Macaca mulatta: one gene and its partners. The protein of the gene in region 1 purifies or fractionates together with the protein of each later gene. This does not show direct contact. Links are inferred from orthologs where the notes say so. Each region holds a gene or a part of one and is shown in the gene's direction. Other genes may lie near its edges.

What was found. The genes of interacting proteins can lie anywhere in the genome.
Region 2: the proteins of PARD3 (region 1) and PARD6B purify together in Homo sapiens (affinity purification with mass spectrometry; 5 studies listed by BioGRID and IntAct, counting the BioPlex papers as one, with this or other methods). This does not show direct contact. The link is inferred for Macaca mulatta from reciprocal best matches to the Homo sapiens genes PARD3 and PARD6B.
Region 3: the proteins of PARD3 (region 1) and PRKCI purify together in Homo sapiens (affinity purification with western blotting; 5 studies listed by BioGRID and IntAct, with this or other methods). This does not show direct contact. The link is inferred for Macaca mulatta from reciprocal best matches to the Homo sapiens genes PARD3 and PRKCI.

What each region holds. Positions count from the first base shown.
Region 1 is NC_133414.1:35,768,597-35,772,328, reverse strand, and holds part of PARD3 (partitioning defective 3 homolog), read left to right. Parts: intron 1-499; coding exon 500-882; intron 883-3,732. UniProt on the Homo sapiens protein: Adapter protein involved in asymmetrical cell division and cell polarization processes. Seems to play a central role in the formation of epithelial tight junctions. Targets the phosphatase PTEN to cell junctions.
Region 2 is NC_133415.1:103,610,892-103,613,725, forward strand, and holds part of PARD6B (partitioning defective 6 homolog beta), read left to right. Parts: intron 1-1,072; coding exon 1,073-1,902; 3' UTR 1,903-2,834. UniProt on the Homo sapiens protein: Adapter protein involved in asymmetrical cell division and cell polarization processes. Probably involved in formation of epithelial tight junctions.
Region 3 is NC_133407.1:82,016,307-82,020,038, forward strand, and holds part of PRKCI (protein kinase C iota type), read left to right. Parts: coding exon 1-34; intron 35-1,653; coding exon 1,654-1,769; intron 1,770-3,732.

The sequences.
Region 1 (3,732 bases):
ACTTTCTATAGCCTTCTAAGTGTGCGTGTGTGTATTTTAAAAATTTTAAATACACATCTAACCCAATCCAAGATTCTATATATAATTATAAAGCTCTTTCTTTGAAAACTTAAATGGAAATATTTTGTAATGTCTACAAGTTGTATTAGACAATGTTGTAAAGAGAAGGTTCCATTTGGTTTCTATTATTGAAATTATAATACCTCTATTGTACTTAAAACATGTTTAATGATTTACAATTGAGAGAACAGAATTTTTTCTGTAGTTGTAGATAATTTTTTTATTTTTATTGAGAGAAAGAGAAATTTATATTTGAAGAAACAGCTATTCGTAGATCAGAGCTACAAACTTGATTGATAAATGGGTTATTAGAATTTTGCTTTTCAATTTCAACAGCCTGTCAGTTCTTATTGCTTAATTAGTATACTTAATTAAGCTCATAATATCTTCTAGTCTGCCAGTCTTAATTTGCTAATTTTCTATTCTTTCTCAAACCCAGAGCACAACATATGTTTCGCCAAGCCATGCGTACACCCATCATTTGGTTCCATGTGGTTCCTGCAGCAAATAAAGAACAGTATGAACAACTATCTCAAAGTGAGAAGAACAATTACTATTCAAGCCGTTTTAGCCCTGACAGCCAGTATATTGACAACAGGAGTGTGAACAGTGCAGGGCTTCACACGGTGCAGAGAGCACCCCGACTGAACCACCCGCCTGAGCAGATAGACTCTCACTCACGACTACCTCATAGCGCACACCCCTCGGGAAAACCACCATCCGCTCCAGCCTCGGCACCTCAGAATGTATTTAGTGCGACTGTAAGCAGTGGTTATAACACCAAAAAAATAGGCAAGAGGCTTAATATCCAGCTTAAGAAAGGTATAACCTATCTTGTTTTTGTTTTGTGGAATTTCTTTTCTTAGTAGCAACACACAAGGGTTGAAATGGAATTTATTTTAAAAGTCAACCTACTAACCCAAAGCACCCTAAGTCTTATCTCATTATTTTGTGAAAGAATTGATAGATTTTTAAAAGCTACTTACCTTTTAACACGTTTAAAATTGTATTTCTTATATGTCTCAGGTTTATTTTGCTCTGTAGAAATTAAAATGTAAAAGTGCAGAGAATAAGACTTTAAAATATGTCTATGAGAAGAAGATAGCAGCTACTACTGCAGTAAAATTTTTGATTGTGAATGAAAATGGCTTCGGGACATTAATATCAAACACAGAACAATAGTAAGGATTTGACCATTTTGACTGCCCCATTTGCTGTCTAAGTCTAGCCCTCAAAGAAGACTTGAGAGGTAGTGCACATCAATCCTAGTATTTGGTGTGGGGAGGAACTGATTTGTTTGAGGCTGCCAGGAGTTTTTAGTAGGTTGCTGAGAAGCCAGGCCATTGGCTCTTGTCTTTTGTTTTCTTGAATTACTGCATTACTTCCCTTTCTTTTTTTTTTTTTTTTCCTTTTCTTTCCTTTTTCTTTTCTTTTTCTTTTCTCTTTTTTTTTTTTTTTTTTTTTTTTTTTTTTGAGACAGGGCCTTGCTTTCTTGCCCAGGCTACAGTGCAGTGGCACAATCATAGCTCACTGTAGCCCACAGCACCACACGTCAGCCTTCCAAGTACTGGGACAAGAGGCATGTGCCGCCGTGCCCATCTCATTTAAAAATTTTTTTGTAGTGATAGAGTCTTGCCATGTTGCCCAGGTTGATCTGGAACTCCTGGCCTCAAGTAGTCCTTCTACCTCGGATTCCCAAAGTGCTGGGATTATGGAGTGAGCCACCATGTCCAGGCCTGCTTCTCTTTCTTATGGTGATGTGGAAGTCATGATGGCGATTACCAATTCTTCATGCATCTTTCAGCCATTTATGTATTTTAGTACCCTTCTTGTATACAGTGGATCTCTGTGTATAGAGAGCATGTTCTTGCAGTTTGCCTCCTTCAAAGTTGAGTGCAAACTATTGGACTTGACTTTATGATTTTCACCCAGTGTTTGGTCCAGGCACCAAGATATACTTTTACTGTTCATGATCCATTTTAGCTGATCATTTTGATATATTTTTAAATCATGTCTTTCAAAATGGTATTATTATAAAGAATATTTATTTTTATAGGCTCAACCATCAACTCTTATAGTTGGATGGAAATGATTCCAAGAGAGGTTCATTATTTCCTCAGGTCATGTGGCTGTTGGCCACAGATTCTTACTAGAATGTTTTCCATATCCAGATATTCAGACCATTCTTCTTTCCATTTGGGGTAGCATTTACAAGGTTGTAAATACTGAGACTGCTGTTTCCTTTCTAAGTCATATTCTTTCATTGAACTTTATGTGAACCTCAAGTTTCTTTTTCTGGTTACTGGCTTTTAAGCTCTAAATACTGGATTGACATGATCAGGAGTTGACAGCTTGCCTCCTTGCAAACACAGAGGCATATCAACAGAAACCCCTTTGGCTCTGTCACTTCCTAAATGAGAGAAATATCACATCCGCTTTCCTCCTTTTGCTCTACTTAAATGACAGGCCCTTGTTTTTAACCAAAAACATATCAAGAACCACAAATAGAGTTGTATAAAAAATAAAATTCTGCTTGAGATCTCTAAAAGGTATAGTATTTTGCTTCACCACTGTCATAAAGATATTGGTTCATAAATATCTTTTCCTTTTTATACTGATACAGCAGTATTCATTTAGTTAATTACAGTTTTTCAAAAATTAGGATATTTGACAAATCATGATATAACATGAACTTTTTAAATGAGGTGATTTGCCACTAAAAGTACCATTGTTTTGAATACAGATTTTATTTTAATAGCATTTAATGAAAAATATGATTGCATTTACACAAGCTAATTTAGAAAGATTGTGCTTAATCACTGTAAGGAGAAACAATGGTTTTAAGTGTTTCACAGACCTTGAATAATCTTAATGATATAGAGTCCCATAGATCTATCTTGATTTTAATTTACCAACTGTGAGAGTGTATGACAAAAAACACATGCTGCTTGTGCATGCCACCAATACTTACAAATATTTTATATAAAAATTGTGTTTAGTATAAATGTGGGGAAGAATGTAGATTATCTTTGATTTGGACTAAATGCATATATTTTAATAATAATGATTGTAGGAGAATTGAACAGGCTTTCCTTGTAGCTAGCAGATTTGTTCTTACCAGTTATTACATTTATTAGTGAAGTACATTAAAAACATAGGGTGTGTCAGATTCGGTTCAGAGTGAGCTAATGTGCTTTGAGTGGCAGCAATTCTTCAAAAACTGGGATCAACTCTTAGTACAAAAAAAGATGTCGGTATAATGATTCTTTGGCCTAATTTTGGATCTATATTATATAACATGACAACAGAATAGCCTCAGTGTACTTGCTTCCATAATTATGATTTCTTAATATTTATTGCCATTTTGGTATTCTCAAATACCCTGCTCTTTTGTAGAAATTAGCTTTTTAATAAAGTCAAAGGAGAAGGTCAGTAATCTGTTTCAGTCAGTGCAGAGTGTTTTGTTGGCTTTGTTAAATGAAAATTGATATCTACTTATCTTTCCTTGAAAGGTCATTGCCTGAACTTTTAGCTTACAGATTTAGGGGTTATTGCTGATATTTTAATAGTATTGAGGTTCCTACAACAGTCAGCATTCATAGTTCAGAGAAATTAGTATTGCAAAAGGAGAGTAATTAAGAATTCTTTCTTAATAAATGTTATTGCAAGTCA
Region 2 (2,834 bases), on another chromosome or scaffold:
CACTTTGGGAGGCCAAGATGGGCGGATCACGAGGTCAGGAGATCGAGACCATCCTGGCTAACACGGTGAAACCCCGTCTCTACTAAAAAATACAAAAAACTAGCTGGGCGAGGTGGCAGGCACCTGTAGTCCCAGCTACTCAGGAGGCTGAGGCAGGAGAATGGCGTGAACCTGGGAAGCGGAGCTTGCAGTGAGCTGAGATCCGGCCACTGCACTCCAGCCTGGGCGACAGAGCAAGACTCCGTCTCAAAAAAAAAAAAAAAAAAAAAAAAAAAGCTGGTTTAAAATCATGTTTTAAGGCCAGACACAGTAGCTCTCACCTGTACTCCTAGCACATTGAGAGGCCGAGGCGAGAGGATCTCCTGAGGCCAGGAGTTCAAAACCAGCCTGGGCAACACAGCAAGACCCTATTTTAAAAAAAGGAAAAATACATATATATTTAATGATGTTTAAGAATATGTAAGATCTGGCTAGGTGCGGTGGCTCACGCCTGTAATTCCAGCACTTCGGGAGGCCGAGGTGGGCGGATCATGAGGTCAGGAGATCGAGACCATCCTGGCTAACACGGTGAAACCCTGTCTGTACTAAAAATACAAAAAAAATTAGCCAGGCCTGGTAGCACACACCTGTAGTTCCAGCTACTCGGGAGGGTGAGGCAGGAGAATTGCTTGAACCCAGGAGGCAGAGGTTGCTGTGAGCCAAGGTCACGCCACTGCACTCAGCCTGGGCGACAGAGTGAGACCATCTCAAAGAAAAAAAAAAAAAGAATACGTAAGATCTATCATAATTTCATTTGCCATATTTAATGTTTAATAGTGATTGAGCTCTATCAAATTTAACTTCAACATTGGTTTATTTTGTGATGTGTATTTGAGATGGCCACCTAGTGGTTTTTTCTGGTATGGCATTTTACTACTGTACTAGATTATGATCTGATTAGCAAATAAGCTTATTAGCTAGTTTGTTTATATACCAAATATATTTTGAGTTATCCTTTCTGTACAGATTCTGCCGCAAGTGAATAGATATTTTTACAGCATTTCTATAATTATTTTGTTTTATTTTTAAACAGAAGAAGCAGACTACAGTGCCTTTGGTACAGACACGCTAATAAAGAAGAAGAATGTTTTAACCAACGTATTGCGTCCTGACAACCATAGAAAAAAGCCACATATAGTCATTAGTATGCCCCAAGACTTTAGACCTGTGTCTTCTATTATAGACGTGGATATTCTTCCAGAAACACATCGTAGGGTACGTCTTTACAAATATGGCACTGAGAAACCCCTAGGATTCTACATCCGGGATGGCTCCAGTGTCAGGGTAACACCACATGGCTTGGAAAAGGTTCCAGGGATCTTTATATCCAGGCTTGTCCCAGGAGGTCTGGCTCAAAGTACAGGACTATTAGCTGTTAATGATGAAGTTTTAGAAGTTAATGGCATAGAAGTTTCAGGGAAGAGCCTTGATCAAGTAACAGACATGATGATTGCAAATAGCCGTAACCTCATCATAACAGTGAGACCGGCAAACCAGAGGAATAATGTTGTGAGGAACAGTCGGACTTCTGGCAGTTCTGGCCAGTCTACCGATAACAGCCTTCTTGGCTCCCCACAGCACATTGAACCAAGCTGTGAGCCAGAGGATGAAGACAGCGATGAAGATGACATTATCATTGAAGACAATGGAGTGCCACAGCAGATTCCAAAAGCTGTTCCTAATACCGAGAGCCTGGAGTCATTAACACAGATAGAGCTAAGCTTTGAGTCTGGACAGAATGGCTTTATTCCCTCTAATGAAGTGAGCTTAGCACCCATAGCAAGTGGCTCAAACACGGAATTTGAAACACATGCTCCAGATCAAAAACTCTTAGAAGAAGATGGAACAATCATAACATTATGAAACCATTGTTTGAATGTTTTCAGAGTGAGGATGCCATGAGAACTTGTACATTTGGCTAGTTTAAAAGCATATATACCTCTGACCAGTGACGTGGAATAGGCATGAGACGAGTAACGTTGCAAGCTTACAATATTATTAAAGTAGTAGTCTGGTAATTGTTAATATAAACTTTGGTGGATCAGAGGTGAATTTAAGTCCAAAACAAAGGGGCCTTTGCTGATGAAGTTACGTGCTTTTACTTTTTTGTCTGTGGAGAATCAGATGTTAAAGCACATTCTTGGAACTATGCGAGAAGACTAGATCATTTCTGTTGGAAGTGGTTGCATATTTAACCTGCTGTGCAGAGCCCAGTTAATTTTTCCTTTAACTGTATTTTTAAAATTCTAATGTGAAGTCTGATTCTCTCTTTTGGTACACTGGGGACCTCAGCTCTTAAAGGTCTTATGTTCCCAATATTTTATTTTATTTTTTATTTTTTATTTTTTTAGTGACTGGATCTCACTCTGTTGCCCAAGCTGGAGTGCAGTGGCATGATCACAGCTCACTGCAGCCTCAACCTCCTGGGCTCAAGCAATCCTCCCACTTCAGCCTCCTGAGTAGCTGGGACCACAGGCACGTACCATGACACCTGGCTACTTTTTGTATTTTTTGTAGAGACAGAGTTTTGCCATGTTGCCCAAGCTGGTCTTGAACTCCTGGGCTCAAGCAGTCCTGCCTCGGCTTCCCAAAGTGCTAGGATTACAGCCACCATGCCCAGCCTATTTTGATTTTTGTTTTTTTAATGTTCCTCTCTAATAAATTGTAACAAATGATGTTCTCAAGTGCATTTCCAGTTTCTAAGAATCAAACCACGTGGCTGTTTTTAGGAGTTGCTTCCCATGTTATAAAGCTCAGGAAGCTCTCTTTTTTTTTTTTTTTTTGTCTCTGTCGCC
Region 3 (3,732 bases), on another chromosome or scaffold:
ACACCCGTTCTTCCGAAATGTTGATTGGGATATGGTATGTAAATTTTGATTACTTTCTCTATTAGGTTTCATTATTATCTTCAGCCAAATCTTTTTTTTTTTTTTTTTTAGGACAGAGTCTTGCTCTGTCACCCAGGCTGGCATGCAGTGGCACGATCTCGGCTCACTGCAACCTCTATCTCCCGGGTTCAAGCAGTTCTCCTGTCTCCGCCTCCCAAGTAGCTGGAATTACAGGCACGCACCACCACACCCGGCTAATTTTTGTATTTTTAGTAGAGATGGGGGGGTTTCACGATGTCGGCCAGGCTGGTCTCGAACTCCTGACATCAGGTGATCCACCCACCTTGGCCTCCCAAAGTGCTGGGATTACAGGTGTGAGCCACCGCACCTGGCCTATCTTGGGCCAAATTTTATTGTCTTAGCTAACATATCACAGCTTTAAAAACTTAAAACCACTTTCTAAACTGCTTTTTAGAAAACTTTTAAAACAAAAAAAATCCTTTTTTTAAAAATGTATTGTTTTTTCTGAGATGGAGTCACATTCTATTGCCCAGGTTGGAGCGCGATGGTGTGATCTCTGCTCACTGCAACCTCCGCCTCCTGGGTTCACGCAATTCTGCCTCAGCCTCCTAAGTAGCTGGGATTACAGGCACATGCCACCATGCCCAGCTAATTTTTATATTTTTAGTGGAGACAACGTTTCATCATGTTGGCCAGGCTGGTCTTGAACTCCAGACCTCAAGTGATCCACCTGCCTCAGCCTCCCAAAGTGTTGGGATTCCAGGGGTGAGCCACCGTGCCCAGCCAAAAAATTGAATATTAATGTAATAAAGCAGGTTATAATGTTATTGAAACCCATATCAATGTTTATACTTGTTTTTGTTTGTTTGTTTGTTTGTTTGTTTTTTTAAGAGAAACAGTCTCACTCCATCGCCCAGGCTGTACTGTAGCTCACGACAGCCTTGATTGAACTCCTAGACTCAAGAGATCCTCCTGTGTTAACCTCTCAAGTAGCTGGGACTATAGGCATAAGCCATGGTACCCAGCTAATTTTCAATTTTTTTTTTTGGTTTGTTTTTTTTGAGGTGGAATCTTGCTCTGTCTCCCAGGCTGGAGTGTTGTGGCACAATCTCGGCTCACTGCAACCTTCGCCACCTAGGTTCAAGCAATTCTCCTGTCTCAGCCTCCAGAGTAGCTGGGATTATAGGTGCACGCCACCACGCCTGGCTAATTTCTGTATTTTTAGTAGAGACAGGGTTTTGCTATGTTGGCCAGACTGGTCTTGAATCCCTGACCTCAGGTGATTTACGCACCTTGGCCTCCCAAAGTGATGGGATTACAGGCATGAACTGCTGTGCCCAGCCAATTTTTAATTTTTTAATAGAGATGGGGTCTTGCTATATTGTCCGGGCTGGTCTTGAACTCCTGGCCTCAAGTGGTCCTCCCATCTCAACCTACCAAGCAGTTGGGATTATAGGCATGAGCCACCATGCCCAGCTCATATTTGTAAATTATGTTCATCATTGCTAATATCATTGTACCGTGCTTCAGGACTCACTTTAATAAGGGAAACAATGAGTGCAGAGGAGAACTGTAGAGGTGCAATTTTTCTAATAATACAGACTTGAGCTGTCATCCAATATGTCTTTTCAGATGGAGCAAAAACAGGTGGTACCTCCCTTTAAACCAAATATTTCTGGGGAATTTGGTTTGGACAACTTTGATTCTCAGTTTACCAATGAACCTGTCCAGCTCACTCCAGATGACGAGTAAGTAATTCTGTACACTGAAATTTTTTTTTAAGTTTTTTGGAAATCCCATTTTTAGTGACTATGCAATGTTTCATGATCAGATTATACTATTAATTTTTTTATTTTTTATTTTATTTCATTTTATTTTATTTTTGAGACAGAGTCTCGCTCTGTCTCCCAGGCTGGAGTGCAGTGGTGCAATCTTGGCTCACTGCAACCTCTGCCTCCCAGGTTCAAGTGATTCTCCTGCCTCAGCCACCCTGAGTAGCTGGGACTACAGGCTCATGCCACGACACCCAGCTAATTTTTATATTTTTAGTAAGGACGGCGTTTGCCATGTTGGCCAGGCTGATCCTGAACTCCTGACCTCAGGTGATCCACCCACCTTGGCCTCTTAAAGTGCTGGGATTACAGGCGTGAGCCACTGCGCCCGGCCTATACTATAATTTATATAACCATTCAGTTACTGGTATTTGAATCCACTGTACTATTATAAGTTTTAATAGTAACTGTCATTTTCTCCTTTGCTTTATCGTGCATTATCTCATTTTCACAACAACTTTGTAAACTAGTTAAATTGTCATCTTCATTTTACAGATGAGGAAACTGAGGCTCAGAGAGGTTAAGCAAAGTTACACAGCTATCAGGTGGTAGAGTCAGGATTCAAACCCAAATCTCTCTGTCCTGCTGCACTGTTTCCCATTTGACAAGGACTGTCTTTGTCTGTCTAAGTTCCTGAGTATTGCCTTAAGATAGATTCTTAGAAAGGGAATTAGGTCAGAGGGTATTAACATTTTAAAGCTCTTGATATGTATTGCCAAATTGCTTTTTTTAAGGAATTACATTGAGTTATTAAATCCAGCCAGCAGTGAGCTGATATATTTTTTTGTACTTATACTGCATCTTTTAAAAATATACCTTAAAATAATTGGGGGATATTTTGATTATTTACCTGTTGTTACAGATTCATTCTCTCTAATCTCAAGGAGGCCCTTATTGTTTGGCAGTCATTTTACTTCTATCTTATTTCTTACCACATTTCTCCCAGCACCTGCTCCAAACAGTCTCTTCATTTCAGAAGCCTTCAGTTCTACTCCTTTTTCCATCACTGTTAAAGGATTAACCTTGTCTTATTTTGATGCAAGGACTGATAACCTCTCTGGCGTGACCTTGCCTCCTTTCCAGCTGTCACCAGACCACCTTGCATCTCAGAATTGCTTTCTAATTCTTTTCAACATTTTCTTATTCCCTACTCTTGGAAGGCTCTCCTTTACAAGGAGCGTCCCTCCTATTTTCCTAGACCTGTTTCTGTAGTTTTCTCCAATATTTCATTTTGTCAGTTATCTTGTTATTGGACCTTCTTAGATTTATTTTTTTCTAGCTTGCTTCCCTCTGTGTAAGCATGCTCAGATTCTCTGATTTTTTCCCCCTAACTCATAGTCCCTCTTTGAACAACCACATTTTTCCTCATTTTCATTTCGTCTTGAAGCCTCAAAAAAAAAAAAAAAAAAAAAAAAAAAGTCAATAGATGTTCATGGTCAAAGAAAAATAAATATGCAGCACCTCTAATCTAACTTCTTCAGACTAGTCAACGTTGATTGTCTTGAATTTTTTTTTTTTCTGTCAACACTTCAACCCCTTACAACTGAGCCTGTCCTCCAGCTTTTGAAAGTTGAATCAATTTCTTAATTTCTAAATTGTAAAGCATTTTGGGGTGAGTCCTCACCTCCCTTGATGAATGTAAAGCATTTGGTCCTCATGGCTTTGCCTTGGGTGGCACTGCCTATTCTGGTTCTGTTTCATCTCTGTGACTACTTTTCTCTCATGTGTTTTCCCTGTCCCCTTGAGACCAGGATGCTTCATGGTTCTGTTCATGACAACCTTCTTTTTGCTTCATGCAGTTTGTACCTTGGAGATTTCAACCAGCCCTGTAGCATAGATACCAGCTAATTAAATGACTCTCAGTTAAATGGCAAATGGT